7 linked regions of the Danio rerio genome follow. The protein of the gene in region 4 interacts with the protein of the main gene of each other region in a pairwise test. Links are inferred from orthologs where the notes say so. Each region holds a gene or a part of one and is shown on either strand. Other genes may lie near its edges.

Evidence for each region.
Region 1: the proteins of exoc1 (region 4) and kif5aa interact in a two-hybrid assay, tested with the Homo sapiens proteins (2 studies listed by BioGRID and IntAct). The link is inferred for Danio rerio from reciprocal best matches to the Homo sapiens genes EXOC1 and KIF5A.
Region 2: the proteins of exoc1 (region 4) and sh3bp5a interact in a two-hybrid assay, tested with the Homo sapiens proteins (2 studies listed by BioGRID and IntAct). The link is inferred for Danio rerio from reciprocal best matches to the Homo sapiens genes EXOC1 and SH3BP5.
Region 3: the proteins of exoc1 (region 4) and sybu interact in a two-hybrid assay, tested with the Homo sapiens proteins (2 studies listed by BioGRID and IntAct). The link is inferred for Danio rerio from reciprocal best matches to the Homo sapiens genes EXOC1 and SYBU.
Region 5: the proteins of exoc1 (region 4) and exoc2 interact in binary tests that used the Homo sapiens proteins (3 or more experiments, as listed by UniProt). The link is inferred for Danio rerio from reciprocal best matches to the Homo sapiens genes EXOC1 and EXOC2.
Region 6: the proteins of exoc1 (region 4) and srgap2 interact in a two-hybrid assay, tested with the Homo sapiens proteins (2 studies listed by BioGRID and IntAct). The link is inferred for Danio rerio from reciprocal best matches to the Homo sapiens genes EXOC1 and SRGAP2.
Region 7: the proteins of exoc1 (region 4) and ccser2a interact in a two-hybrid assay, tested with the Homo sapiens proteins (2 studies listed by BioGRID and IntAct). The link is inferred for Danio rerio from reciprocal best matches to the Homo sapiens genes EXOC1 and CCSER2.

What each region holds. Positions count from the first base shown.
Region 1 is NC_133184.1:250,127-254,388, reverse strand, and holds the start of kif5aa (kinesin family member 5Aa), read left to right. Parts: upstream 1-1,462; 5' UTR 1,463-1,646; coding exon 1,647-1,775; intron 1,776-4,262. UniProt on the Homo sapiens protein: Microtubule-dependent motor required for slow axonal transport of neurofilament proteins (NFH, NFM and NFL). Can induce formation of neurite-like membrane protrusions in non-neuronal cells in a ZFYVE27-dependent manner.
Region 2 is NC_133194.1:2,328,163-2,331,662, reverse strand, and holds part of sh3bp5a (SH3 domain-binding protein 5), read right to left. Parts: intron 2,120-3,500; exon of another isoform or gene 2,021-2,119; intron 527-2,020; exon of another isoform or gene 497-526; coding exon 368-496; exon of another isoform or gene 210-367; intron 1-209. UniProt on the Homo sapiens protein: Functions as a guanine nucleotide exchange factor (GEF) with specificity for RAB11A and RAB25. Inhibits the auto- and transphosphorylation activity of BTK. Plays a negative regulatory role in BTK-related cytoplasmic signaling in B-cells.
Region 3 is NC_133191.1:43,563,962-43,567,922, reverse strand, and holds the start of sybu (syntabulin), read right to left. Parts: upstream 2,801-3,961; 5' UTR 2,557-2,800; intron 2,282-2,556; 5' UTR 2,227-2,281; intron 1-2,226. UniProt on the Homo sapiens protein: Part of a kinesin motor-adapter complex that is critical for the anterograde axonal transport of active zone components and contributes to activity-dependent presynaptic assembly during neuronal development.
Region 4 is NC_133195.1:28,542,360-28,545,859, reverse strand, and holds part of exoc1 (exocyst complex component 1), read left to right. Parts: intron 1-669; coding exon 670-771; intron 772-1,522; coding exon 1,523-1,596; intron 1,597-1,683; coding exon 1,684-1,912; intron 1,913-1,990; coding exon 1,991-2,174; intron 2,175-3,500.
Region 5 is NC_133195.1:29,287,910-29,291,409, forward strand, and holds the end of exoc2 (exocyst complex component 2), read right to left. Parts: intron 2,235-3,500; coding exon 2,179-2,234; intron 1,823-2,178; coding exon 1,700-1,822; intron 1,613-1,699; coding exon 1,551-1,612; intron 1,460-1,550; coding exon 1,400-1,459; intron 726-1,399; coding exon 632-725; 3' UTR 423-631; downstream 1-422. UniProt on the Homo sapiens protein: Component of the exocyst complex involved in the docking of exocytic vesicles with fusion sites on the plasma membrane.
Region 6 is NC_133186.1:23,504,428-23,507,480, forward strand, and holds part of srgap2 (SLIT-ROBO Rho GTPase-activating protein 2), read right to left. Parts: intron 1,367-3,053; coding exon 911-1,366; 3' UTR 1-910. UniProt on the Homo sapiens protein: Postsynaptic RAC1 GTPase activating protein (GAP) that plays a key role in neuronal morphogenesis and migration mainly during development of the cerebral cortex. Regulates excitatory and inhibitory synapse maturation and density in cortical pyramidal neurons.
Region 7 is NC_133192.1:28,006,502-28,010,660, forward strand, and holds the start of ccser2a (serine-rich coiled-coil domain-containing protein 2), read right to left. Parts: upstream 2,801-4,159; 5' UTR 2,097-2,800; intron 1-2,096. UniProt on the Homo sapiens protein: Microtubule-binding protein which might play a role in microtubule bundling.

The sequences.
Region 1 (4,262 bases), on a different chromosome or scaffold from region 4:
GATTTAATTTTCAAAAATTAAGTTTCTGTGAAATCGAACACCCAGATCTTTGACAGTAAAACTAATACTAACGCTGCATTCTTCTAATTGCAGGTTGATTTATAAACTTTTGGAGTATTACTGTGGGCCCCAACAAAAATGACGAGCGTAGGTACAATGTAGAGCTCAGAATGTAGGCTAAACACACACACACACACACACATTGGGTTTTCTTGGTTTCCCCAAATACTCTAAAACAAATACTGAGCTGTATTAACCCAACAGTTGGGTTAAAAAGGTACCTAAATTGAATTAATAAAATTAAATATTCATTAAATTAAATATTTGACTCAACGGTTACAACAACCCTGCATTTATTATTCAGATATGCACGTGTTTCTAATGTATATCCTGTTCTCTTTAACCCTACACTACCCAACATTCGCAGGAAACAATCTGCACTTTAACATGTACAATATACATAATTCTCTATGATTTATCACTAGGTCCATATGCAATCTGTGTGCGCAGATGTTTAGCCCATCATTAATTCTGTTTATTAACTTGAGTAAATGTGTGTAAATCTATATTTATTCAGATTTTTAATTAATTACAGAAATATTATTGACTAATATGAAAATATCCATATGGTTTATGTACAATGCAGTCTACAGTAATATGTTCTGTATTTTAATAGAGATATTATATGAGAGACTTGCTTTGCTTACCAAATAAAGTGAATCTAATTGAATTTGCATTTTAAACATTAAATACAGGTTAAAAAGATATTATTTAAAAATAATTTTAATATTTTTTTTGTTTCACATATTAAGGTTTACTCCCAAAATAATTTCGGAGAAATCATCATATTTTTACCAAAATTCTCTGCCGAAATAGCAAAAAACATCCGCAGATCGCGTCTGGCCCTGGTTATGACCTTAAATTCATTCAGGTTTAGTTCAGTGTGTATAAACCTGAACACACACACAGACATAATTATCGCACACAGCTCATGAACAAACTCGATGAACTGTAAGCTGCACAATTGTTTAAATGATGTTTATTTGTTTCCAGTTGTGCATATTGGCATGTAAACAGGAACTGCTCTGTAATTGTGCACAGAATGGAGAACAGCGCTGTATCCAGCAGGCGGCAGCGATGAGTGCTTCCCGAGCAGCGCTGAGAAAAGTAATACACACCACGTGACAGCAAGTTTGCCTCAACAGAGGTGATATTATATAGATGTACGACTCATATCTGCTTAACAACGGTGTGGAAACTCATGTGAAAGTGTTTAGGTGAAATCAGACAGCGAGAAAGGCGAAAACATCCGTTTGCTCCGCTGAAGCCCCGCCCAGCAGTGTCCAGCGGCCACGCCCTGCTCCGCATCCCTCCTGACAACAGCAGCAGCAGCATCAGCAGCAGCATCAGCATCCTCCTCCTTCACAACACACATTTAGCACAGGGCAACACAAAAAACGCTGCATTAATAACAGCATCGTCTACTCGACGGGGTTTTCTCTCCAGCATCTTCGGCCGTTTCTCCGAGCAGACGCCATTTGCTCGCTCGACTCCAGACCTGAGCGCTGCCGTCCTCTGCCCCGCTATAAACAGCGCTTCTGCTCTCAGATAAAGCTATAGATATATATATTGTGTTCTGCATCATCATGACGGACGCCGCCGCGGAGTGTAACATTAAAGTGCTCTGCCGCTTTCGGCCGCTGAACCAGGCCGAGATCCTGCGCGGGGACAAATTCCTGCCCACCTTCCAAGGGGACGACACGGTCATCATCGGGGTAAACACAGCATTTCACTCTATATTTCTGTTTATTCGCGTGTGTGAGGGGTGGATTGTGAAGAGATGCTGCTGCAGGTTGTGTTTGTGTCAGTATGACGTCAGCAGATAGAGATGCTGCCGAGGCCTTATGATGAATACAGCAGGCCCTAATCATCATCATCATCATCATCATCATCATCATCATCATCATCACAGGCCTGGAGAATCAGAGGGTGGATCAGTTCATCATTCTAAAGAACATCCACCCTATTTTTCTCATTCAGTTTAAATAAATAATGCATTGTATCCTCTGTTTTGTGCTGGATTAGCTCGCTCTATAGGTATTATAATGTTGCTTTGTGGTGATTCTTACACCTTAATTTAATCAGAAAACACTCTCTGAGATTAATAATCTCTTTAACAGGAGTGTTCAGGTCAGAATGAGCAGGTTACAGACTTTACAGGACACATTAACACATTTAAAACAGTTACACTGAATTTAAATGCTTCTCATTTTGTCTTCTAGTCCAAAAACAAAATCTAGTGAAGCACAAGCTGCTACCTTATTTTGTGCTTTATTAAGAGGTTTAAAAAATGCATTTTATCTTCTAATCAGTGCTGCATTCGCTTGTCTGATAGTATCATCATATAATCTTTTGGAAGCTCCATTATTTGTTTTTGTATATTTATTTAATTTTTCTGTAGTCTAAATATCTAAAAATGCTTAAATCAAGAAGGATTTTCTTGATAAGCAGGAAAAATGGCTCATTTGATCATTTTTTTGCAGTTATTCAGCTTATTTTGTGTTTAATTAAGATGGTTTATCTACTATTTTGTGCTGGATTAGCTTGTCTGATGACATTATAATTGTATGTTTTTTCATTAATTTTAAACCTCAGTTTAATCAGAAAATAATCTGAGATTAATAATGTCTTTAACAGGAGTGTTCAGGTCAGAATGAGCAGGTAACAGACTTTACAGGACACATTTAAAACAGTTACACTGAATTAAAAGGCTTTTCATTTTGTCTTCTAGTCCAAATAATCATATTAAGCAGAAGCTGTGGTTCCTCAAAGCATTCTGATTCACCTTATTTTGTGCTTTCAATTTGTGGTTCATTTGATCATTTTCACAGTTATTAACCCCTTTTTTGTGTTTAAATAAGAGATTTCTGCATTTTATCTTCTACTTTGTTCTGTATTAGCCTGCTACACTGCAAAAAATGCTTTTCTTACTTTATTTTTTTGAAAATCTAAAAGTTCTTAAATCAAGAAGCATTTTCTAGACAAGCAAAACTTATTGTCTTGTTTTAAGAAATAATATGCCAAAATGAAGTGAGTTTTTTCTTAAATCAAGCTAAATAATCTGCCAATGGGGTCAGCAAAATAATCTTATCACAAATCGAAAACAAGACAACGTGTTTTGCTTGTCTAGAAAATGCTTCTTGATTTAAGAATTTGTAGATATTTGGACTAGAAACAAGACAATAATCTTAGTTAGAAAAGCATTTTTTTGCAGTGTAGCTGGTATCATAATGAATGCTTTTTATTTAACCAGAAAAGATTCTCTGAGATTAATAATCGGTTTCTGATCAGAATGAGCAACAAGACTCAGTTTACACATGGCAATAATGCTTTTCCTACTGAGAGTTTGTGTCCTGTTTCTATTCCAAATATCTAAAAATGCTTTAATCAAGAAGCATTTTTAATGAGCAGAAAATATAGTGTTGTTTTTAGCAATAATGAGTCAAAATGAAGAGAGTTTCTCTGTAAAACAAGCAGAATAATCTGCCAACAGGAGGAAGCAGAAACTTTGAAATAGCATTACTTCACTCACCCCTCTAGCAGGCACAGGCTGCCAGCATGACGTCAGATTGATATTGTACGTCATGGGATCATTGCATTTTGTTTGGAAATGAAAATTAATTTGATGTCAGAACCTGACATCAGGCTGATGTTGTGTGGACGTTACCAACATGACGTCTATCAGATGTTGGGTTTTAGTTACCTTACCTGAAGAGTAAATGTCAGTATCTGACGCCAATATGATGTTGATTTAAGATGTTGACTCGAGGTTTGATTTTGGTCACTTTCCAACACAACCTAAAATCAACCAAATATTAATGTCATTTGACGTCATTATTGGAAATGAAAATAACGTTGTCATCAGACGCTGGCTGACATTGATTACTGTTCAGCTGACGTCACAACCTAAATCTAACCTAATATTAACTCATGATGTTGTGTGCCTGCTGGGACAGATAACATTCCTTGTTTAAATGTAAATATCACTGCATTTTGACTCTGAAAAGAAAACTGTTTTTTGCTAGTCTAGAAAATGCTTCTTGATTTACTTGAATTTTTAGATATTTGGTTTAGAAACAAGAAATAAATCTTTAAAAAAATTTTTAAAGATTTAAATTTTATGAGATTAGTGCTTTAAATGTCAAAAATGAAGAAAACATGGTGAGATGTTGCTTGTTTAGAGCTTCTATCAGAAGAAAAAC
Region 2 (3,500 bases), on a different chromosome or scaffold from region 4:
GACATGCTACGGCACATTTCTACATAGTTTCCATTCGTGTGTATAGTCGCCTGTATTTTCGTACAGACGGTCTCAGATGTTGGAGTCAGTAAATGTGTGTGTGTTTCTCTGTGTGTGTGTGTGTGTGTGTGGCTCTGAATGCCCTCTTGAACCGGTCATCAGCTGTTTCCTGCTGTTTAACAATCCTCCATCACCGCAGACAGACCTGCATTACATAACCCTGATTTCTAGCCGGCTGACAGCGCTCAAAAAATCATGTTGGCTGCTTGTTCAAACTACTCATTTAATTTGAGCTGAAACAACACATTTCTTAAGGTATAATAAAACAAACCATGCAGCTTGGATGGATTATGTGTGCTGATCTGACCTGTCGCGCTGCTCTTCTGGCCTCCCAGTATGGTTTTGATTCTTCCACAGCTTTGCCGATCTTCTTCACCTGCTCGTCCAGCTTGACCGTTGCCTCCACCAGCACAGCACGAAACTTCTGCCGGGAGTCCTGAACAACCAGAAGCATATTTTGGAGTTGGTAAATATAAAAATCTATCCTCAAAACCACCAGTAAATGATTCAGTGATTAAATTAATCTGCTCCATTAATCATTCACAATCCTGAATATACAGTTGAAGTCAGAATTAGTTTAACGGAGAGATTTTTTCAACACAATAGTTTCATTAACTCATTTCTAATAACTGATTTATTTTATCTTTGCCATGATGACAGTAAATAATAGACTTAAAGACACTTCTATACAGCTTAAAGTGACATTTAAAGGCTTAACTAGGTTAATTAGGTTAACTAGGCAGGTTAGGGTAATTAGGCAAGTCATTGTATAGCGATGGTTTGTTCAGTAGACTATCGAAAACAAATATAGCTTAAAGAGGCTAATAATATTGACCTTTAAAAAATTTTAAAATGCTTTTATTCTAGCCGAAATAAAACAAATAAGACTTTCTCACGAAGAAAAAATGTTATCAGACATACTGTGAAGATGTCCTTGCTCTGTTAAACATTCATTCATTCATTTTCTTGTCGGCTTAGTCTCTTTATTAATCCGGCGTCGCCACAGTGGAATGAACCGCCAACTTATCCAGCAAGTTTTTACACAGCGGATGCCCTTCCAGCTGCAACCCATCTCTGGGAAACATCCACACACATTCACATACACACACACTCATACACTACGGACAATTTAGCCTATCCAATTCACCTGTACCGCATGTCTGTGGACTGTGGGGGAAACCAGAGCACCTGGAGGAAACCCACGCGAAGGTAGGGAGGACATGCAAACTCCACACAGAAACGCCAACTGAGCCGAGGTTTGAACCAGTGACCTTCTTGCTGTGAGGCGACAGCACTACCTACTGCGCCACTGCCTCGCCTCTGTTAAACATCATTTGGGAAATATTAAAAAAAAAAATTCAAAGGGGTCTAATAATTCTGACTTCAGCTGTAAATGTAAAGTGCATTTTTTGTCTGGAGTAAGCATCATTGAGCCATGCTCTCTGAGGTCAATCATAGTATTCAGATGCATTATGGATAATAAATTCAGCTGCATGCAGTATTACATAAAAGCCACCGACAGCTGAGTTGTCTTGTCTTTGTGTTGCAAAGTGGTCAGGAGCGAGTTACTGTACATTGAGTCTGACTGAATCCCAGTGCACTGATAGGCTCATCATATCCAGGCAGCATGAACTGTACGCTCAGGAATCTCAGAATTATGTGCGTCCATCTTTCAGTTTCACAGCAATGAAACGCTTTGATAATCCGCCCTTTGTTGCTCTCTGAAAAGCGCTGCTTCAGCTAACTCAATTCAGCCTTTAACAGAGTTAAGAAAGAATCTGCAAGCCGCTTTCTAGACACAAACTCCTCCTCAGCACAAGCAAAGAGTGGTGTTTATTGCATTAAAGGAGTTTGATTCACGTGTCTATCGGGTTCAGTCGGTGATGAATCTGTTGTCGGGTGGGTTTGGTTGTTCTGATGATAAATATAAAAACACTGACATCTACATCCTTCCACACAGGACCTCAGTGAGAACATGCACGCCACAGGGATTTAGACTTCCTCTGACAGACTGACACTTCCTGGTTCAGTCCTGACCATCACATACAGTGTAATGTGGGTGAGCATTCCTAATATTTCTTAATAAATAATAATAAGTGAGGAGGGAGAAATAGCCATGAATCTGATATTAGGCTTTGAAGATGACCTATTATGTCCCTATTTACAAGATGTAAAATAAGTATCAGATGTCCCTAGAGTGTTCCAGCTCAAAATCCTTGCTCTGTTAAACATCATTTGTGAAATATGAAAGGGGGGCTAATATTTCTGACTTCAACTGTGTGTATGTATATATATATATATATAATTTTTTTTTTTTTTTTTTTAAGGGCGTAACGATACGCATATTTGTATTGAACCGTTCGGTACGAGACTTTCGGTTCGGTACACATTACAAACCGAACGATTCAATTCAGACTAACATCTAAAATCCATGTTAAACAGTAGACCATCGCTTTTGAACTCAGAATATCACTTTATTAAAGCATGCACCCATTAGCAATCTTGCTAGCTTCTGTGTCAGCCTGGCTGCTCGTGCTGGCTTTGCCCCTGTTGCCCCAGTAACCCTGGACCCCCGACACAAAAGAGCCAACCTCCAAACACTACTCCAGGCACTCGCTACGCTAGCTCGCAAAATGACGAGTAACGTTAATGTAATCCCAGACATCCCAAGTCTCCCGGAAGCTTTGGGAGACTCCTGGATGCCCGCACACGAAGGATAATCTTCACGAAATTGTGCATCTCATCGCGACTCATCCTTCTGAAAATAAAAAAATACTTCAAAATTAATTGAAACTGAGTTCCATATGCAATCTAAATTGTTATTTTCTTTTTATTTGTTGAACTGCTACAATATTATATTTATTTTTTGTAAGTGGCTTTTTGGTTTTGAGTATAAAGAAGGATTTGTTTTATTTGCTGCTAAGCAAAAACCCCGGAAGTAAAGCTCTAATACTGTTTAAAGTAAAAGAAAAAAAACAGGCTCATAGTTTTTATGATGTTAGTTTTAATACATTGAAAAATTTAATCGAGAGAAACAATCTGGCTTTTTTCTTTTTTTGCTGTATCGAAAACGTTCCGAACCGTGACACCACTGTATCAAATCGAACATTTTTGTGAACAGTAACACCCCTAATATATATATATACACACACATACATACATACATACATATAATATATATATATATATATATATATATATATATATATATATATATATATATATATATATATATAGGGCTTAGTCCCTTTATTAATCCGGGGTCGCCACAGAAGAATGAACCACCAACTTATCCAGCATGTTTTTATGAAGCGGATGCCCTTCCAGCCGCAACCCATCTCTGGGAAACATATGTATATATATGACTATTTTTCAGCGTGAGTTTTAGTTTTGTTTTATTTCAAAAAACATTTAATGTTAGAACAATAACCCTGATATAA
Region 3 (3,961 bases), on a different chromosome or scaffold from region 4:
GATTAGTTCAAATGGCTGATTCATTTACAAAATGAAGCTTAGTCTGTAAACAGTTTCCCCTAATTATTTAAAAAAGATTCATCCAGAAATAAAACACTGCACTGACATTTACAAATGTCATTATCTGGCTTTGAATGAAATAATTTTCTTTGATTAAATGGAAGAAAAAGACAATATAATGTTTATAATTTTTTTAAAATAGAAGTCCGGTGACAACCAGGGGTCTAGGGGAGAGTCCTAGGGGGTCTGTGAAAATGTTAGACATTTAAAAATCTGAAGTTGAATAAAAATATATTTAATAAATAAATAAGTCATAAATAAAATAAAAATGCCAGTGTTTTGAAATTTAAGAAACTATACTGCATGTCTTTTGACTGTGGGGGAAACTGTAGCACCTGGAGGAAACCCATATGAATACAGGGAGAACATGCAAACTCCATACAGAAATGCCATCCAGCTAGGACTCAAACCAGCGACCTGCTTGCTTGATTTAATTTGTTGGTCCACTTAATCAGTTTGCTATGCAATTGCCACTCATGGGAGCAAGCCTATTCTCTCTTGGAGTCCAAATCAACTCTTAACGACAGTACCAAACAACAGACTTAAGACCTGGCAATGCAGAGGAACAAACACCATTTAAAGAAGCCAGGGACACTAGTCAGCCATTCTGTCCTAGATTGATATCTTGTGTCAAAACAAGAAGCTTAAGTGTTTTTACTCTGTCTTGTCAGCCTAATAGAAAAGCTGAGACTAGTTTCAGCCTGACTGAGTTAGAAGTTACTGATGCAATCTCTTTAAAGCCAGCTCATGCGTACTGACTAGAAATGGCATGACTGGAAGGAGAGAAACAGGAGGGAAGTCAGAGAGTATTCGCTGAATCATAACAGCTTATGTAATATACTTCACATATTTTATTATGAATGAGTTCACGTATAAATCATGACAGTAATGAAAGTCAGTTTTACGGTGTATGCTTCTCTTTTAGCTAATTACTGTACCCTCTATTGTCATCATTATTGCTATCTACTATAATCAGCAATTTGAAGAGTATTTAACGTTTGTAGTTCTAATATGCAGACGTTTAACTATTCAGGTTGTCCTCTTCATGTTAGCATCTAGAGAGAGTTTGAATCATTTACTTTAGCTCTGTCTTTATAGTCCACTAAATCAGTGATGACTCCATGTTATTGAGACAGAGAGTTATGTGCAGATGCATTTGCTTCTGGCTGTGAGTACATCTTCTGCTCATTGTTTCAATGTTGCTGTTTGAGTTTGACTACAAAAGAAGATGGCTGAATACAGGCTGAGGTTGTGCGTTAGTCAGTGTACATGACTACCAAATTTAGCATTTTTTTTCTCTACTTCTGTTTTCTCTAATAGTGTACAGTTCACAGCATTCCATGCATTTTTAAATGGCTATAGTTATTTCAGCAGATATCTATCTCAAATGATATTTCCAGTGAGGATTCAATGTATCCTTGCATTGATTGATTTAAGCCTCTAAATATCACTTTAAGCTGTATAGAAGTGAAAGATATCTAGTAAAATATTATTTACTGTCATCATGGCAGAGATAAAATGAATCAGTTATTAGAAATGAGTTATTAAAACTATTATGATTAGAAATGGGTTGATTATTTTTTTTTCTCTCTGTTAAACACAAACTGGAAAAAAACAGAGTGGCTAATAATTCTGACTTAATAATATATAATTATTAACTTAATTATATATAATTCATAAAATATTACTAAATATCAATAAATAATAATATATAAAATATTATATTTTATATTAATAAATATTAATAAATAAAGTTTTGATGGGTGTATTAAAATTATGACATTATATAAGAAAAATATATTTTAATTTTGTTTGTTGAAAAACATTATACTTAAATTACATTTTTATTATTCTCTAACAAAAAAAATACACTAAAAAGTGTTCTTAAATCAGAATGCACTGACATATATCTTAAATCAGAATGCACTGACAGAAAATGCACTGACATATATTTTAATAATAATAATAATAATAATAATATTAACACGTATTAGTTTAGATTTTACCAAACATAAATGTCTCTTTGCATGCACAGCACACTTTTACAGTGTTTTAGAACGTTCTGTGAATTCACAGCACACTGAATTTCCTCTCAAAAACAAGACTTTTACCACAAAGGCGAAGGGACGAGTAAAATGAAGTAAACCAAAGATGATTGACAGTTACCTGACTTACAGACGTTCAGCTTGTTGACAACTGTGCAGTGACGCCTCTGCCCCGCCTAAAAATGAATAAATAAGAAAATAAATACACAACTAATTATAAAATAGCTAACTAAAATGACGAAGATGAATAAAACAATCATAGGCTACGCGGTAATCAACAATCAACAATAGCGTCGCGTTTGGTTTGTCTCAGTTAACATGTTGAGTAGAATACGCATTTAATCCATACCTATAATAATACAGTTTATATACATTATATTTGTGAAAATATGTCCTTTAATCCATAATATTATGGAAATAAGAGTGTGACGCAGACGGTAAAGACACTTGCCTCGTGATGCGCTGCTGATTCCTGCGAGTGAATGAGAGAAAGTGAAGGATGCGCGGCCCCGTGGCTCCTCAAAACAACACAATGCGCGCTCTCGCCGCTCTGCTGCTGTTTTGATGCGATGTGAAGGACTTTCAGCCTCTGTCTGCTAGATTATTCAGCACAGCATCAGTGTGTGTGTCTGTGTGTGTTTGTGCTCGAGCAGAAGAGGCTGAGGACACTGACATCGCCAGGACAACGCAAATCTGACTAATGTTTCGAGTGTGTTATGTAACGCGCAGCAGAAATTAACCCTTGTGTGGCGGATCGGGATTTAACAAGTGGGTTTACTGACGCGCACGAATTTTAATGAGCAATGACGACCTTATGCTTTTGGCAAGTGAAAAGCTGTTAGAAACCTTTAAATAAATGGGATTGTTACGCCACTTTTTGGACTGACAAACGTGTCTCTTGTCAAGTAATCTGAATTTATATGTAGCATAAATACAATATTGTAAAAATAATTTAAAAACTTATTCTTTTATACAATGCATTTTCTATATACAGTTTGCATAGTTTATAAGTCATAGTTTGTGATATGTATTTAATTCAGATTCTCCTCAGTGATACTGTAAAAAGGGACCGTATTTAACACTATTATACTTTTATTATATATCTTTTAATTTTTAAATGATAAATAATACTTTTAATTATTATGAATAGTTAATATGTAATATTTAAAGTTATAGTTTTAACTTATCAGTCACTTTTCACTATATTAAGGGCAGCCTTAATTGAGTAAATATTATAAATTATGACTTATTACGACTGATTAGGCTTTATAAAATATAGGGTAAATGTCTTATTGAAAGTATTACAGTAAAAATAGTAATAGTTTTATTGCCAGACAAATTGTAAATTACATGACTGCTTTAGAATACAGTATAACTTTAATTGTTTTTTACGTAATTAAAAGTATATTAATTATGAACTAGCAAAATATGCTAAATGAAACCCAATTTTTTTGCATAGTATCAAAATGTAACATTATGTATCAGTATGTAACAATTTTTTTGCATTTTTGCTTGTGCATATTTGCTTATTTTATTTGTTTGTTTGTATTTATTAAAATAACTTGCTGGCAAATTACGAATGCATTTCAGCTACCAGTGATTGGAGAATTTTAGGTTACTCTTGACTATGCAAAACCAATTTTATTAAATAGAAATCTGTGTAAAGAGAGCATTTTCTATACAATGTATTGTCTATATACAGCATACCTATAGTTTAGAAGTAATAATTTGTAATATGTATTCAATTAAGATTTTCCTTACAGTGATGCAATAAAAAGGCACTGTATTACAAGTTAAAACTATAATTATTATTTTATAATTAGTTTAATTTTTTAATGATAAATAACACATTTAAT
Region 4 (3,500 bases):
CTCCGGGTGCTCTGGTTTCCCCCACAGTCCAAAGACATGCAGTACAGGTGAATTGGGTAGGCTAAATTGTCCGTAGTGTATGTGAATGTGTGTGTGCATGTTTCCCAGAGGTGGGTTGTGGCTGGAAGGGCATCCGCTGCGTAAAAACTTGCTGGATAAGTCGGCGGTTCATTCCGCTGTGGCGACCGCGGATTAATAAAAGGACTAAGCCGACAAGAAAATGAATGAATGAATGAATAATAAATAAAATATGCATTCAATTAAAAAGCGTCTCTATATGTCTATATAGAGTTATATGTCTGTCTATATAATCTCTATATAAAATCTCTAGATATCTATAATGTTACAAAAATCACATTAAAATACATTCTGTGCTTTTCTTGTAAATATCATTTATCACAGTTTTCAGCATTAATAAAAAGGAGAAATCTTTTTTTAAAACAATATTATAATACAATATTGAGCATATTTGAATGATTTTTGAAAAAAAAAAAACATCAGTATGATTAATGCTAAAAAAATAAATGCTAAAAATTCAGCTTTTCCATCAAAATATTTTAAAAATTGTAATAGCATCTCACATTATTTCTGTTTACTGTACTTTTAGCAAGTAAATGCAGCCTTGGTGAGCATGAGATACTGAGTGTTTTCTCTGTTTTTGTGTTCCAGATCTTTGAGCAAGTTTTGAGTGAACTGGAGCCGTTGTGTCTGGCTGAACAAGACTTTATTAGCAAGTTCTTCAAGCTGCAGCAAATTCCTACACTAGCTCAGGTATAGTATAACGTACTGTAACTTCATATAAAAAACTTTTGGTAATGGCAGCTTAAAGACGCCTCTCATATGGAGAAAGAAGTCACAAGCATTGCTCAGATGTGATTTTATAAAACAAATTTACAGACATCAACAGATCGTAAAAATCTTAATGGTTCTGTGGGTCTCTTCTATTAAATCTGATCTTTATTTTGTATTTTCTGTTGGATTCAATTGAGTGATTGGCTGAGCCATTATATAGCTTGATTTTTTTTTTTTTCTCTCTGAAAGTATTTAAGAGTTTCCTTGGCTGTGTTTTGGGACATTGTCTTTCTGAAATGTCCACCCTGGTTTCACCTTCATCATCCTGATAATGTAGATGTTGAACTGAAGCAGCTGCCAGCTAATATTTATTTACAATGAGAAAGGGCAGAGGGTTGCTGAAGAACAAGAGATTTCAGCTGCTGACTGGGCTATCACTGTCTTTCTACACCTCCCTTCTTTAATGCGTTTAATACTTTTTACCTGCATAATTTAATTTTATCATACATAATCTAATTTGTTAACTAATTAGATTTGTTTTTTTTTTTGCATATATGGATTTCTTTGGTTGTTACCAACATCCGAATTATTTCAAGTCAATGCCACTTTTTAGAAATATGTTTTCTGAGAAAAATGGTGATGCGTTAAATATTTATTTTCCCCACTGTATATGCATGTGCATTTTATTTCTTTATGACAGTGTTTTAATGATCTTATAAATGTGGATTAGGGAGAGAACATGGATGATTCTGATGGACTGATGCACTCCAAACCGGTCAGTGAACACAGACATTCAATATCTGAGTGAGTGACCATTTTCTTCAGCTAATTTATTTGACAGCCAAATCTGTTTTTAAACAAGAAATAATCACACATCCACTTCTCTTGCAGGAAGGACATGGTTCGGATGATGATGAATAAGATATTTCAGAGTATTGAGACGGAGCTGAACAGTCTTATAGCTTTAGGTGATAAAATAGACAGCTTTAACTCTCTCTACATGCTGGTGAAGATGAGTCACCACGTCTGGACAGCAGAAAATGTGGATCCCGCCTCATATCTCAGCACAACCCTGGGCAACGTGTTGGTCACCGTCAAGAGAAACTTTGATAAATGCATTGTAAGTGGAGCTCAGGTCTTGAATATTGATGAATGTGAGATCAGCATTTGAAACTTCTTATGTTTCTGTCATTCTCAGTCAGCCCAGATTCGTCAGATGGAAGAGGTGAAGATTTCTAAAAAGAGTAAAGTGGGCATCCTGCCGTTTGTTACTGGTTTTGAGGAGTTCGCAAAGCTGGCTGAGGCTATTTTCCGGAACGCAGAGCGACGAGGGGATCTAGACAAGGCCTACATCAAACTGATGAGAGCTGTGTTTAATAACGGTGAGTGTCGCTACCCGGTTTCTCATATAGTTTTTCATTTGTCACTACTGGTTAATTGCTTAATGTAAGATTTTTTTTCTTTAAAGAATCCAAAAATCACTAGAACGATGTTATATATTTTGCTGTCTTAAGAACTTATATTATCCCAAATGTTTCAAAGGTTTGTCCTGTGTCAGCATGCTAATGATTTCATACATCCTCAATTTCTGGTTTAGTTTAATAGAAAATGGGGAAAATAAAACTTAGGACGCTTTAATATGTATGAGCAGCATTGTAACAAAAGTCTAATATGTATTTAGCAGTGTTGGGTAAGTTACTTTAAAAAAGTAATAGATTACAAATTACTGACTACTGGAAAATTCTCATCTAATTACATTACTAATTCCTTCATGTAAAAAGTAATCAGAATACTAATTACTTTACTTTGAAGTAGGGCTGGGCGATTATTCGATATCGATAATTATCACGATATAAAATTTTTCGATAAAACGATAATGACAGTTCGATAATTGCTCGATAATATTTACACACTATGCGTAACGTTGCGCAAGGATTTTGCAGCCTGCCCTTCCGGATGCCACACGCCGTACAAGTTTACAGCCATACAGTGTTAGTTGCACTGAAAGGAATAAGAAAGAAATAAGGTAAAAAAGGTCAGAGTCACAGACATTGTTGATAAGAAACATCACTAGACTTCATGTGCTACTTAGTTTTCGCTATCCGACACAAAACAGAGCAACGTGCACCGCAAACTGCTTAGATGACTCGTGTCATCAAATGCAGGCAACACCACGACCTGTTTCACCATGTAAAACAAGACCACCCTTATAAAGATGCTAAGAAATTACAGACATTAACAAGTGTTGGCAAACCAGCGCAGCTACCCAGCAGAGTCTCATTTCATTGTTTTCGAAAGCCGTGCTACGAGAACCCCCCTCCCCCCCCCCCCCCCCCCCCCCACGGGGGAGGACAGACGCAAGACATGACAGACGACACAATCTCAATCACATCTCAATGAACACTTGATGCTTGCTTATAAATGCAGCAAATATATGACAGACGTTTACAACAGCAGTGGATCATTAATTAAATAAATTTTTTTCACTGAACGAGCGAAGCATCATTCACCCGCAGTTGTTTAAGGCGGGCACGAACTAAATAAATATAAACACATTTTCAAGGAAATATATCTTTTTGTAACGAATTTCGTTTTGTATAATGTGTAACTTAATTTTGATGTATATTTTGTTGGTCATATCTACAGCATAAACAAGAGGAACGAATAACATTTAAGTTGAAGCGCTTTAACACAAGCCTGCTATATGC
Region 5 (3,500 bases), about 750 kb from region 4:
GTAACTTTACAGATTGTTTACTAGCACAAAAAGCCTATATAATAAAATAAAGGTTAAATAAAAAAATCATATTAACTCAGTGTCTAGCGTGTGTTCTAATCAGTTATTTCTTTAACTCCCAAACCACATGCCAGTGCTCTTTGAGTGAAGGCCACCTCCCAGCATTAAACACTTCCTCAAGGTGGCAGGGTGTGTTTCTTTCCATCTGACACCAGACAGGGTGTGTGCATGCATCAGTGGTCATAATAGACTTCAAGAGAAACGACTCTTTTGAAAAAAGAAGACAAGAGTCATTTCTGAACTCAACCGTATCATCCACAAAATGCAAAACTCTGCAAATTTCTATCCCTTTGACACGAACACAAAAACAGAATCCTGGCACATTTCTTGCACATTAATGTACATTAAAAACCCACTCAGTGTAAGCATACATGAATTTATTTTAGTTTAAACCAAAACTGTGATCATTAAGGTGAATGAAGAGGCAGTACAACTGGTCAAGTTAATTATTCTGAAAGGAAAAAGCTATTTTAGTGGCACTAAATTGGCTTTTAATGGTTTTTAAAATTGAAATGGTTTCTTAGTGTTACAATGCAAAAGAGTAATTGAAATGTTGGCGCTTTGTGAAGGTTTATCGCTTTACAGGCTGAAATGAGGCAGGCTTGAAGCAATTTAGCTGCAGCTTCATACTGCTCTTAAACTTATTCAGTAGCTCCTCCAAGAGTCTGAGAAAAGAGAAAGAGATACATGTAGAAAAGAGATATTAAAAAACACTCTGGTAAACACAAAATACTCAATTCTAAGTAATGTTCCAGGATAAAACCAAAATTGATTTGTGTAGACGTATGATCTGATTCTACTGATGCACTACTGGCTGGTTTAAAATCAAGCGTAATTTGTAATCTTCAGTTTTGGCTAAATGTAAAGATGTGTTGGCCCAGCCAACCTGACAGTTATCATTTTAACTTGCCCTTGCATTTTCACTACCCCTCCACAAATGTTATTATTTAAAAATAAACATAACCACTTGAAATTTTGAGGTCACGAGGATTGAGTTCAGAAAAAACACATTAAATTGATAGTAATAATGGTTATAATGTTTAAAAAAACGTCAAATGCTGTACTTGTAAACTCTCTTATTGATCAAAAGATACAGTAACATTTAATCAGAGAATTTCCAGAAAAAATAAGCAGCAAAACCATTTTCAACTTTTGATTTCTAGAGCACCAATCTGCATAATAAAGTCATTCCTAAATTATCACAATTAAATGGTTTTAATAATCATCATCCCCATTTCTAATAATCTCTAATAGCAGTTAGTATTAAATATTAAATAGTTTTGTGTTATCAGTGTCAAGGTTTCAGTCATGTTTGTAACTATACTGAAGTGTAACTTACTTTTTGTCAGCTCCACTCTGTAGCTGTGGAAGCGCTTCCAATGCCTGCTTAAAACTAGTGCTGAGACACAAATGAAAAGATCATGAGCATTAACATACTAACAGTTTTCACCTTTTCTGTTTAAATTTCTCATTGCAGTCGCATGTCTTACCAGCTCTCTGATGAGAGATAGGGCTCTATAGCATCTCGCAAAGCACAGATCTCCAGACGCGCCTCGAGAGAGTAATATAAAAAGGGTAATGTCAATTTTAGTATTTTCAGATCAAATGCTTATTGTGTATGTGAAGGATGCTACCATACCTGCAAGGCACCATTTTTACTAAAAGAAGACACACACTGCATGAGGCGACTCATTTCTTCTGCTACAGCCTCGATGATCTTTGAAAGAACACGAGAAACCAGCTCCTTGGAAACTGTGAAAACCTGGGCAAAAACAGAAGAATACAGAAAATCTATGTTGACCTATGCTACAAATAAATGAAGAATTAGTTACATAATAGAGTATTTTAAAATTAAAAATGTATTTTAATTTGTACTTCTGCAGCTTAGTGAGCAAAACTTTACTTTTTAAAAAAAAAATGTTGAACTGTGGTGTACATTTACAGTTGATTTATATGCTTTTTTTATGCCAAGTCTGATGAAATAATTTTCCAGAAAGCATAGTTTGCATATCCTTTAAATGCTGTAAACAGCTCTCTAGAGTTTTGAATAGAACATGTGCCTTTTTTCTGGAGTAAGGTCTAAAAAGTCATCTTTTACAGAAGGGTTTGTTCTCTCACCTCAGCATGAACAGAGATGATGCTGACCAAAGCCTCCTTCAAATAACTCCTCACGCCTGAGTCAGAAAGAGAGAAAAAAAAATGGGAAAAGGTTGATCAATGAGTTAATTCATTTAGGACATACAGAGAAGCTTCATGTTTGTGCATGTTTCATGTATATTAATTACTTAATTTCAATATTAATAAACTGATCTGGAGAAATGAAGACACTGGCTGATGAGTTCTAGGCTTAGTGGAAGTGTACCGTTCACCACTTACATAAAAAAGTCAATCCATCCATCCATCCACTTCATTATGTACACCTGTCCAACTGCTTGTTAAAACAAATTTCTTTAAACATGTCATGGTTGTTGGTGCTAGATGGGCTGGTCTAAGTATTTCAGAAACTGCAGATCTACTAGGATTTTCACGCACAACCATCTCTAGGGTTTACAGAGAATTGTCAGAAAAAGGGAAAAATATCCAGTGTGCAGCAGTTCTGTTGCCTCAAATGCCTTGTTGATGCCAGAGGTCAGAGGAGAATGGCCAGACTGGTTTGAGCTGATAGAAAGGCAACAGTAACTTAAATAACCTCTCGTCACTACCGAGGTATGCAGAAGAGCATCTCTAAATGCACAACGCGTCCAACCTTGAGGCAGGTGGGCTACAGCAGCAGAAGACCACACTAGGTGCCCCTCCTGTCAGTTAAGAACAGGAAACTTACATTTGCACAGGCTCACCAAAATTGGACAATAGAAGATTGGAAAAACGTTGCCTAACGAGTCTTGATTTCTGCTGCAGCATTAGATGGTAGGGTCATAATTTGGCATCAACAACATGAAAGCATGGATCCGTCCTGCCTTGTATCAACGGTTCAGGCTGGTGGTGTAATGGTGTAAGGATACTTTCTTGGGACACTTTGGACCCATTAGTACCAATTGAGCATTGTGTCACTGCCACAGCCTACCTGAGTATTGTTGCTGACCATGTCCGTCCCTTTATGACCACAGTTTACTCATCTTCTGATGGCTACTTCCAGCAGAATAATACGAAATGTCATAAAGCACGAATCATTTTACACTGGTTTCTTGTACATGACAAAACGTTCACTATACTCAAATGGCCTTCACAGTCACCAGATCTCAATCCAATAGAGCACCTTTGGGATGTGATGGAATTGGAGATTCATATCATAGATGTGCAGAAGGCAAAACTGCAGCAACTGCGTGGTGCTATCATGTCAAAATGGACCAAAATCTCTGAGGAATATATCAAGTACATTATTGAATCTATGCCACGAAGGATTAAGGCAGTTCTGAAGGCAAAAGGGGCTCCAACATGGT
Region 6 (3,053 bases), on a different chromosome or scaffold from region 4:
TTTTTTGCATTGTAAATCTGATCAAATAAAATAAAGAAACTGCTGTCAGGCTGCTACGAAGAGTCATTATATACATACTGTACGTAAACACACATACTAATACATAGATACCATGATACAGACCCAGAGGCGAGTAATGACCTAGGGAGAATTATTTTTCTTGTTATTTTTTCTTTTTTTTTTACACACGGGCCATGAAGAAATAATGTGCTTTCTTGACATTCCTCATTTTTAGATACTTGTTTCCAGTTATAATCACGATTATTAGACTTATACAAAACAACACCCTTTTTTTATGTGCCCGATGATATTATAATAGTAGAATAAAATGACATCTCAGACTGTTAATGAATTCAGAAGTGCTTTGGAGCAATTACGGAATATCGATGATAAATCCAATGGTTTGGGAAGTCGCGTTCATCATGCAAAAAATCTTGTGGATCTTCATGCAAACGTGTTTATTTGTCACGTTTATGGTTTGGTTGGCTAAAAAGAGTGCCAGTGTAGGTTATAAGGTGAATTATGAAGTATAACTAGTGATTATTGGATTTGTAGAATCTGACGGATTGGATCGACTCAGAAATGTCATTGCATTTGAGTGGCGGATTTATATCAGGAGGAAAAAAAAATGTGTTTCCATTCAACCTGCTTCAATTTGCACTAAAGTCTGAGGTGAAAATGTCTCCTCGAATAGTTCTTTGACCTCAAAAAAAGTCTTTTCCCATTAAAACGAGTCTGTACAGACAGAAAAGAACTCCAAAGCTCTAAACTGGGATTAGAAAAGAAGATCCGGCTGATGTCCGAGTCTCAGTCCAAACTAACAACTGCTGAAAAATCATCCTGTGTGTATTAAACACTTACTCGCTCACTCAAATCTAAACTATCCTGTTGTTTTTTTGCTGGGAAACCCTCAGACGGGGCAGGATTTGTCGGTGGGTGGTGGTGGAGGTGGTGGTGTTGGTGGGATGGTGGTGGTTGGAGATCCCATAGCCGGACTTCCTCCGGCTGAACTGCTTTTGGGGAACACCACAGGCTTGGGTCTGGTGGCTGGAGGTTTGTTATCTCTGAATGTGGAGCCAGAAGCGGTGGTCATGGAGGACAGAGGGCTCTTGGGGCCTGTGGTTTTGCTGGGTCGGAAAGTGGAGGGCATGTCGCTGGCTGAACTGGCGCTGCGCTGCAGAGGATGCTGAGAGGATTCAGCTTCGCGGAGCAGGCGGGAATGGAGAGGGCTGGATGGTTCAGATGTCCCGCCACTTTTGAGCTGCTCCAGTGTGTCGAGAACCACGTCTGGAGCATGTTTGACGTTGCTCTGCCTCTCAAGCTCTCGCAGCTCACTCAGAGCCGTGTTCATAGTGGCCTCGATGTCCTGCAGAAAGAAAACAAATAAAATACAATGTAAATATCTTTACCTAAAACCAACTACTACCTTGCTATTAATAATCAGCCAATTAGCCGTTTATTGAGCTAAAAGACTTAGTTAATAGTTTGTTAATAGCATGAATTGTAAACTAAAATTAAAATGAAGTGTGACTGACAATGTTTATTAGATTGAATTGTTTCTCATAAAGTTTTGTAATGAAAAGCATAAAAAAATTCCATTACACTTATATTCTTATTTATTCAGATTTTTTTGGTTTTACATTTATGTAAAAAATAATCAGAACCAAGAAAGTTTTGATAGTATTCTTATTTTCTTTTTGCTTATTTATTGTTTTTATCTAAAGATTATTTGTAAGACAGCAGAAGAAAATATGTCTGTACTCTCATACATACAGTATAGTCAAAATTAAATTATCTTAAAGGACGTTTATATACTGCATGTTGTTTGCAATATTATTGTATATATTCATTAGTTTATAATCTGGCATTTTAAAGAAAAAAAGCACCATATATTTGTAGTTTTAACCTATATAAATATTTGAATATAACTAAATTCCATAACCTACTTATTAATATAATATAATATAATATAATATAATATAATATAATATAATATAATATAATATAATATAATATAATATAATATAATATAATAATAAATTAATAATTTTAATAATTTAATAATTTAATAAATGTTTTAATTTGTAATAATCTAAGACACATACAATATTAAATGCTTGAATTATATGTAATTAACTGTGTGTGTGTGTGTGTGTGTGTGTGTGTGTGTGTGTGTGTGTGTGTGTGTATATATATATATATATAAGTGTATCTTTGTTGTTGTTGTTTTTTTCAAACTACGAAAGCCACAGTAAAAGGAGTAAAAAGTTCACTTCACTTCTTTTTAAAAAGACACCATCTATTGCTAAATGTTTTCGCTAAGGTCAGACCTTGTAGGCTTTCAACAACAAATCTATAAGATGTCCACATGTCTACAATGACTAAACCACAGAAACTCACACTCAATTTCCAGCAGCCGGGATAGATGGAGCAGCTCTGTCCAACCGTGAAATTACAGCTCAAAGAAAGACAAATACTGTAGAACTCTCTAAAACACACAAGCTCCTCTGGAGACCTCAGCACTTTTTCAGAGAGGAAAGCAGGCTCTCAAGTTGACCTGTGTGTCTACAGTATTTATTAGGGGCCTAAGCACAAGCTGTGTTCCAAGAAACACAAAATTTGGCAGGATGGTTCCAAATTTCCAATATTATCTAAATGCAGACTTGGATTTGCAAGCTGAGACTGACACTTAATGTAGCTAGTGATGTCACTGTAAGGGGTAGGATTAGGGGTGATCATTACAAGCATTACATGCAGCTATGTTTACAACTGCACCGAGTCTGGAGTTTTGGCTCATACCATTTTGAGAAATTTTACATTTGCTCAACCATTTTGAACTGTTTTATAAAATTTTTTCCAACCACCTCCAACTCACACCTGCTTGAAGCTGCAGTCACATTAGAGTTTGAGCGTGCGATATTCTGTCGTGCAGCGCTGCAAAAAGGGGCAGGGTTAAACAAGCTTATTAGACATTTAAAAAAGCAAGTGATTGCTCCATGTTTTAAATTTCTGTCCAGAGATGTCATGTTTTGATCCTTGATTGGTCTCACGCA
Region 7 (4,159 bases), on a different chromosome or scaffold from region 4:
TATTCTGAGCAGAAATAGCCAAAAATATCTGGAGATTCTGTCTGGCCCTAGTGATATATTGAACAATAACAATATATATTTCAATATAAGTTGTTAATGCCTCAAGATGTAAAAGAGTAAACCGAGAATGGCTGAAGGCACAAAAATTAGAGGGTCAATTAAATAACATTTTTTCGAACAAAACATTTTTGGCAGCCAAAAACTCGGTACACCTCTAATATCAACACACTTTTAAGATTCCCATTGTTGCACATTTCTGTTGCGTGATTGGGTCTTAGATCAATATAGAGTAAAAAAGTCCAGAGCTTATGATTGTTAATGACATAAATTTTATTGCGATTCGATAAAATATTGTTTATCGGCCCAACCCTAATTTGTTATATAATTTAATGATTTATTTGTAAAATATTGGACTCAATAAATTACCTTATTAGCTTTCTTTTGCAAATGCAGAACATCATAAATTACTCTATTTCCTGCACTGCTATTCTAGAGAAATAGGCTGACAATCCCTTTAATGAACACTTACTAACCAATATTTAGATGGGTTTTTTTTTTAAATATAATGCTTAACTGTAATTGTTAAGTGTACTTAAATAAAGTACACATATATAAATACACAAGTATGGCACGATTTCTGTCGAAATACGTTAGGTGGAAGAAATGAATCATAAGGTTATTTTCTGACCTTCTAGCAGTGAATCAGTCTGAGAAGTACCTGACTCACTTTACATAAATGAATGGCAAACTATTTTATTCTTTTAGCATTATTAAAAATAACTGCGTGATGTGCTACATTTTGTAACAGTGCTGAGAGCATTTAACGCAATGGTGATTGGATTTTTAATGTTATTCTACACAGGGGTGGACTTTACTAATAAGTGAGGTTAAGGATGCACATATATAAATTTTTTGGCGGATATAACTCTTCAGACTTGGATGCCGATAGCTAATGTATATAGGCAGCAAACAGCAAACTTCATAAAAGATTGAACTGCTCTTATGAACTGAATAGTCTACACTCAAAGCAAAAAGCAATAATTTCAAAATTGCAAGGTGATTATATAGACCTATTTTCACGATTTCACGTAAATCAGCATGCACAAACAAAATTATTTCCTTTTCTTTATAGCAAATTAACATGCAACTTGACTGTTGCATAAAAATAAATAGGTTAAATAACAAATTGGGAATGAATTAACAAGCAAGTTCAATATATTTTAAACAAAATGAAAATGAAAGAGCTAAGGACTAAAACCAGCTCAAATGTTCTTGAATAAAAAATGTTACAGTGATGTGCATGTGTACAAATATGTCATGTCCGAAAAAGCCTCTTTTTTTTAAAGGTGTTTTAACAGTTCAGAGCCACCGTACAAGCGAAAAGCTAGATACAGATTGTATTACTTCAGAAAAATTGGCATAGATTCATCCTAATTAGAGTTTTAGATTCTTTTGAACACATGTAGCTGCTGCTTGTCAATCAGACAACGCTTCAATGTCATTCTTTCATTGCTTAGGGCCCTGGAAAAACAGTGCCAACAATGCCAAGAAGCCTATATTAATCATTCTGAAGCTATTTTATAATTTTTCTATCATGTGTTGTAAAATTTGTCTAAAACCATTAAAATGTTGACATTATTATTTCTTTTCTAAATCCACGGGTCCCATGAATAGTGGAACAATCCTTCCATATCATACTGCACATGCAAATATTAAAATCTAATCACAAATCGTAAGTATGGCTAATTAACTGTACATAGTTTGTGAGCTTGTTTTTTATTTGTAAATATATTGTATTGAGATTTTAAGTTTAAGAAGGTTCCACTTTAAATATATATATTTTTAAAAATTATCTAGAGAGAAAACAAATATCTTTTTTGTTTCAATGCTAGGGCCCTATACATGGAATTGCTCAGGGCCCCCAAATCATCAAGTCCGCCCCTGATTCTACTCAAATTATTTTTTTTAGGAAAACATGCTAACAGAATAGTTAGTAAAACAGGTAAAGAACACGAATTAAAACATAGATTCCTTCTCCTCCCATCCCTGTAAGAGTGCACATAAACACTAGATTAACGTTGGCTCATGTGACTCACCTGTTCGATGAAAATCAGCCGCGTCTATCCATGATGTCAACGTCAAAGCTCAAGAGTCCACGTTCAACTTTAACTAGTATTTTAACACAGTCCATGGCTCGAGTAGTCAGCTTACTTATTTTATATACAACATTATACAGTAGACAATGAACGAGCGAAATGTACCCTATGCAGTAAGCACGTTAATTATATCAACCAGGAAAGGCTTCCTCTTACTCAGCGCGATTATTCCAGAGCATCGATTAAAACTACCAACACAAACAAAACAACGGCTTCACGAGCAGCACGAAAGCAAACAATACTCCTTCTTAAATATCGAAATTCAGCGTTACAAACTGCGACTTTAAAGCGCGAAAGCAGCGGGAACACAGTGATGCTGTGGTGAAGTGAGACTCCATCATGATGTTTGCTGTGTTTCGTCACTCATTCCAGCATCCTCTCTTCTTCATCTGCACCTTGCTCGGTTCACTTCAGCTTCCAAATTAACGCGAAGCGTACGGTAGCAAAGAACTAAACAGCGGTTTACTCATGACGCTAAAGCAAGCTAGTGGTCTTCCGCTAGTGTTTAAAAAAAAGCATGCGCTCAGCTTTTGGCCCGCGCCTACAAACAACCTCCCTCAACCCCACCGAGAGCAGCGACCATACTCTCACTCACGCGCGCTGCAAGTGTGACTCGGTGACGTAGGACGTGATTCACAGTGCACGAGCTGCCGGGAGCGCGCGCGATACTTGAATGACGGTGTTGACATGTGATGTAGAACGTTTATTATGTTTTATATAATTGCAAGGATGGTTATGTTTAATATCAAACAAACGTTGTCTGCCTTATTGGATGTGGATTGTAAGTTTGTTTATATAGGCATGTATATAGGCATACGATTGTGTTGGGCCTAGTTTCCATATTTTTGCTTAAGTCAATGAATTGCAAAACTGGTTTCAATTAAATGAAAACATTTAGATTACTTTAAAGGCTGTGTAAGTTAATATCAATATACATATATACACACAATGATATTAATACACACACCATAGTAGATGTGAAGTGCTGGGCAAAGCCTAATGGATGGATTTCAACACAGTGCCAGTAATATCAGGTGTCTGTGGCAAAACCTGAATCCTGTTTCTTACTTCACTCAGAAAGAAAGGAGGAGAGGGCTCGGTGGCAAAGTTGGTGTTGAATTAAAATACACCATATTTATTTTATAACTGCATGTATTTTATTCATTCATTCATTTTTTTCGGCTTAGTCCCTTTATTAATCTGGAGTCGCCACAGCGGATTGAACCGCCAATTTATCACATGTTTTACACAGCGAATGCCCTTCCAGCCGTAACCCATCACTGGGAAACCCTCTCATTCACACACATATAATACGGACAATTTCAGTTTACCCAATTCACCTGTCACGCATGTCTTTGGACTTGTGGGGGAAACCGGAGCACCCGGAGGAAACCTACGCAAACAAGGGGAGAACATGCAAACTCCACACAGAAATGCCAACTGACCCAGCTTAGGCTCGAACCAGCGACCTTCTTACAGTGAAGCGACAGCACTACCTTCTGCATCACCGCGTCGTCAGTCATACATGCATTTTATTTTATTTTTAAAATTATTATTTCTTCAGAAGACCATTTAAAAGGTTTTAAGCTGAAGCCGTGGTCCTTAATGAAAAAAAATTATAATAAATAACAGGCTGAACAGAATCAAAACCTGTGGCTCACAAGTTGATGTCTTGAATGGCCTGCTGGTGAAAAAAATATACAGAATTTTTTGGCTTTTTTGAGTGAAATGTCCCTTTGAAAATGTCTCTGGTGGCATTTAGATAGTGAACGTCTCCAAAGAAATACTTCACCCAAAATGTCAAATTCATCTGTTTGACTTACTTTGTTCTGTTAAACACAACATTAGTTATTACTGTATATATTGTGTTTGTTTCTTTTTGTTCAATTTTTGGTTCAACAGAAGGAAAAAACTCTTAAAGGTTTGGAAGCACTTGATGGCAGGTAAATGGTAAGTTAAATAATTAAGGGAAATTATCCCTTTAAACCCTACAATTTATACAC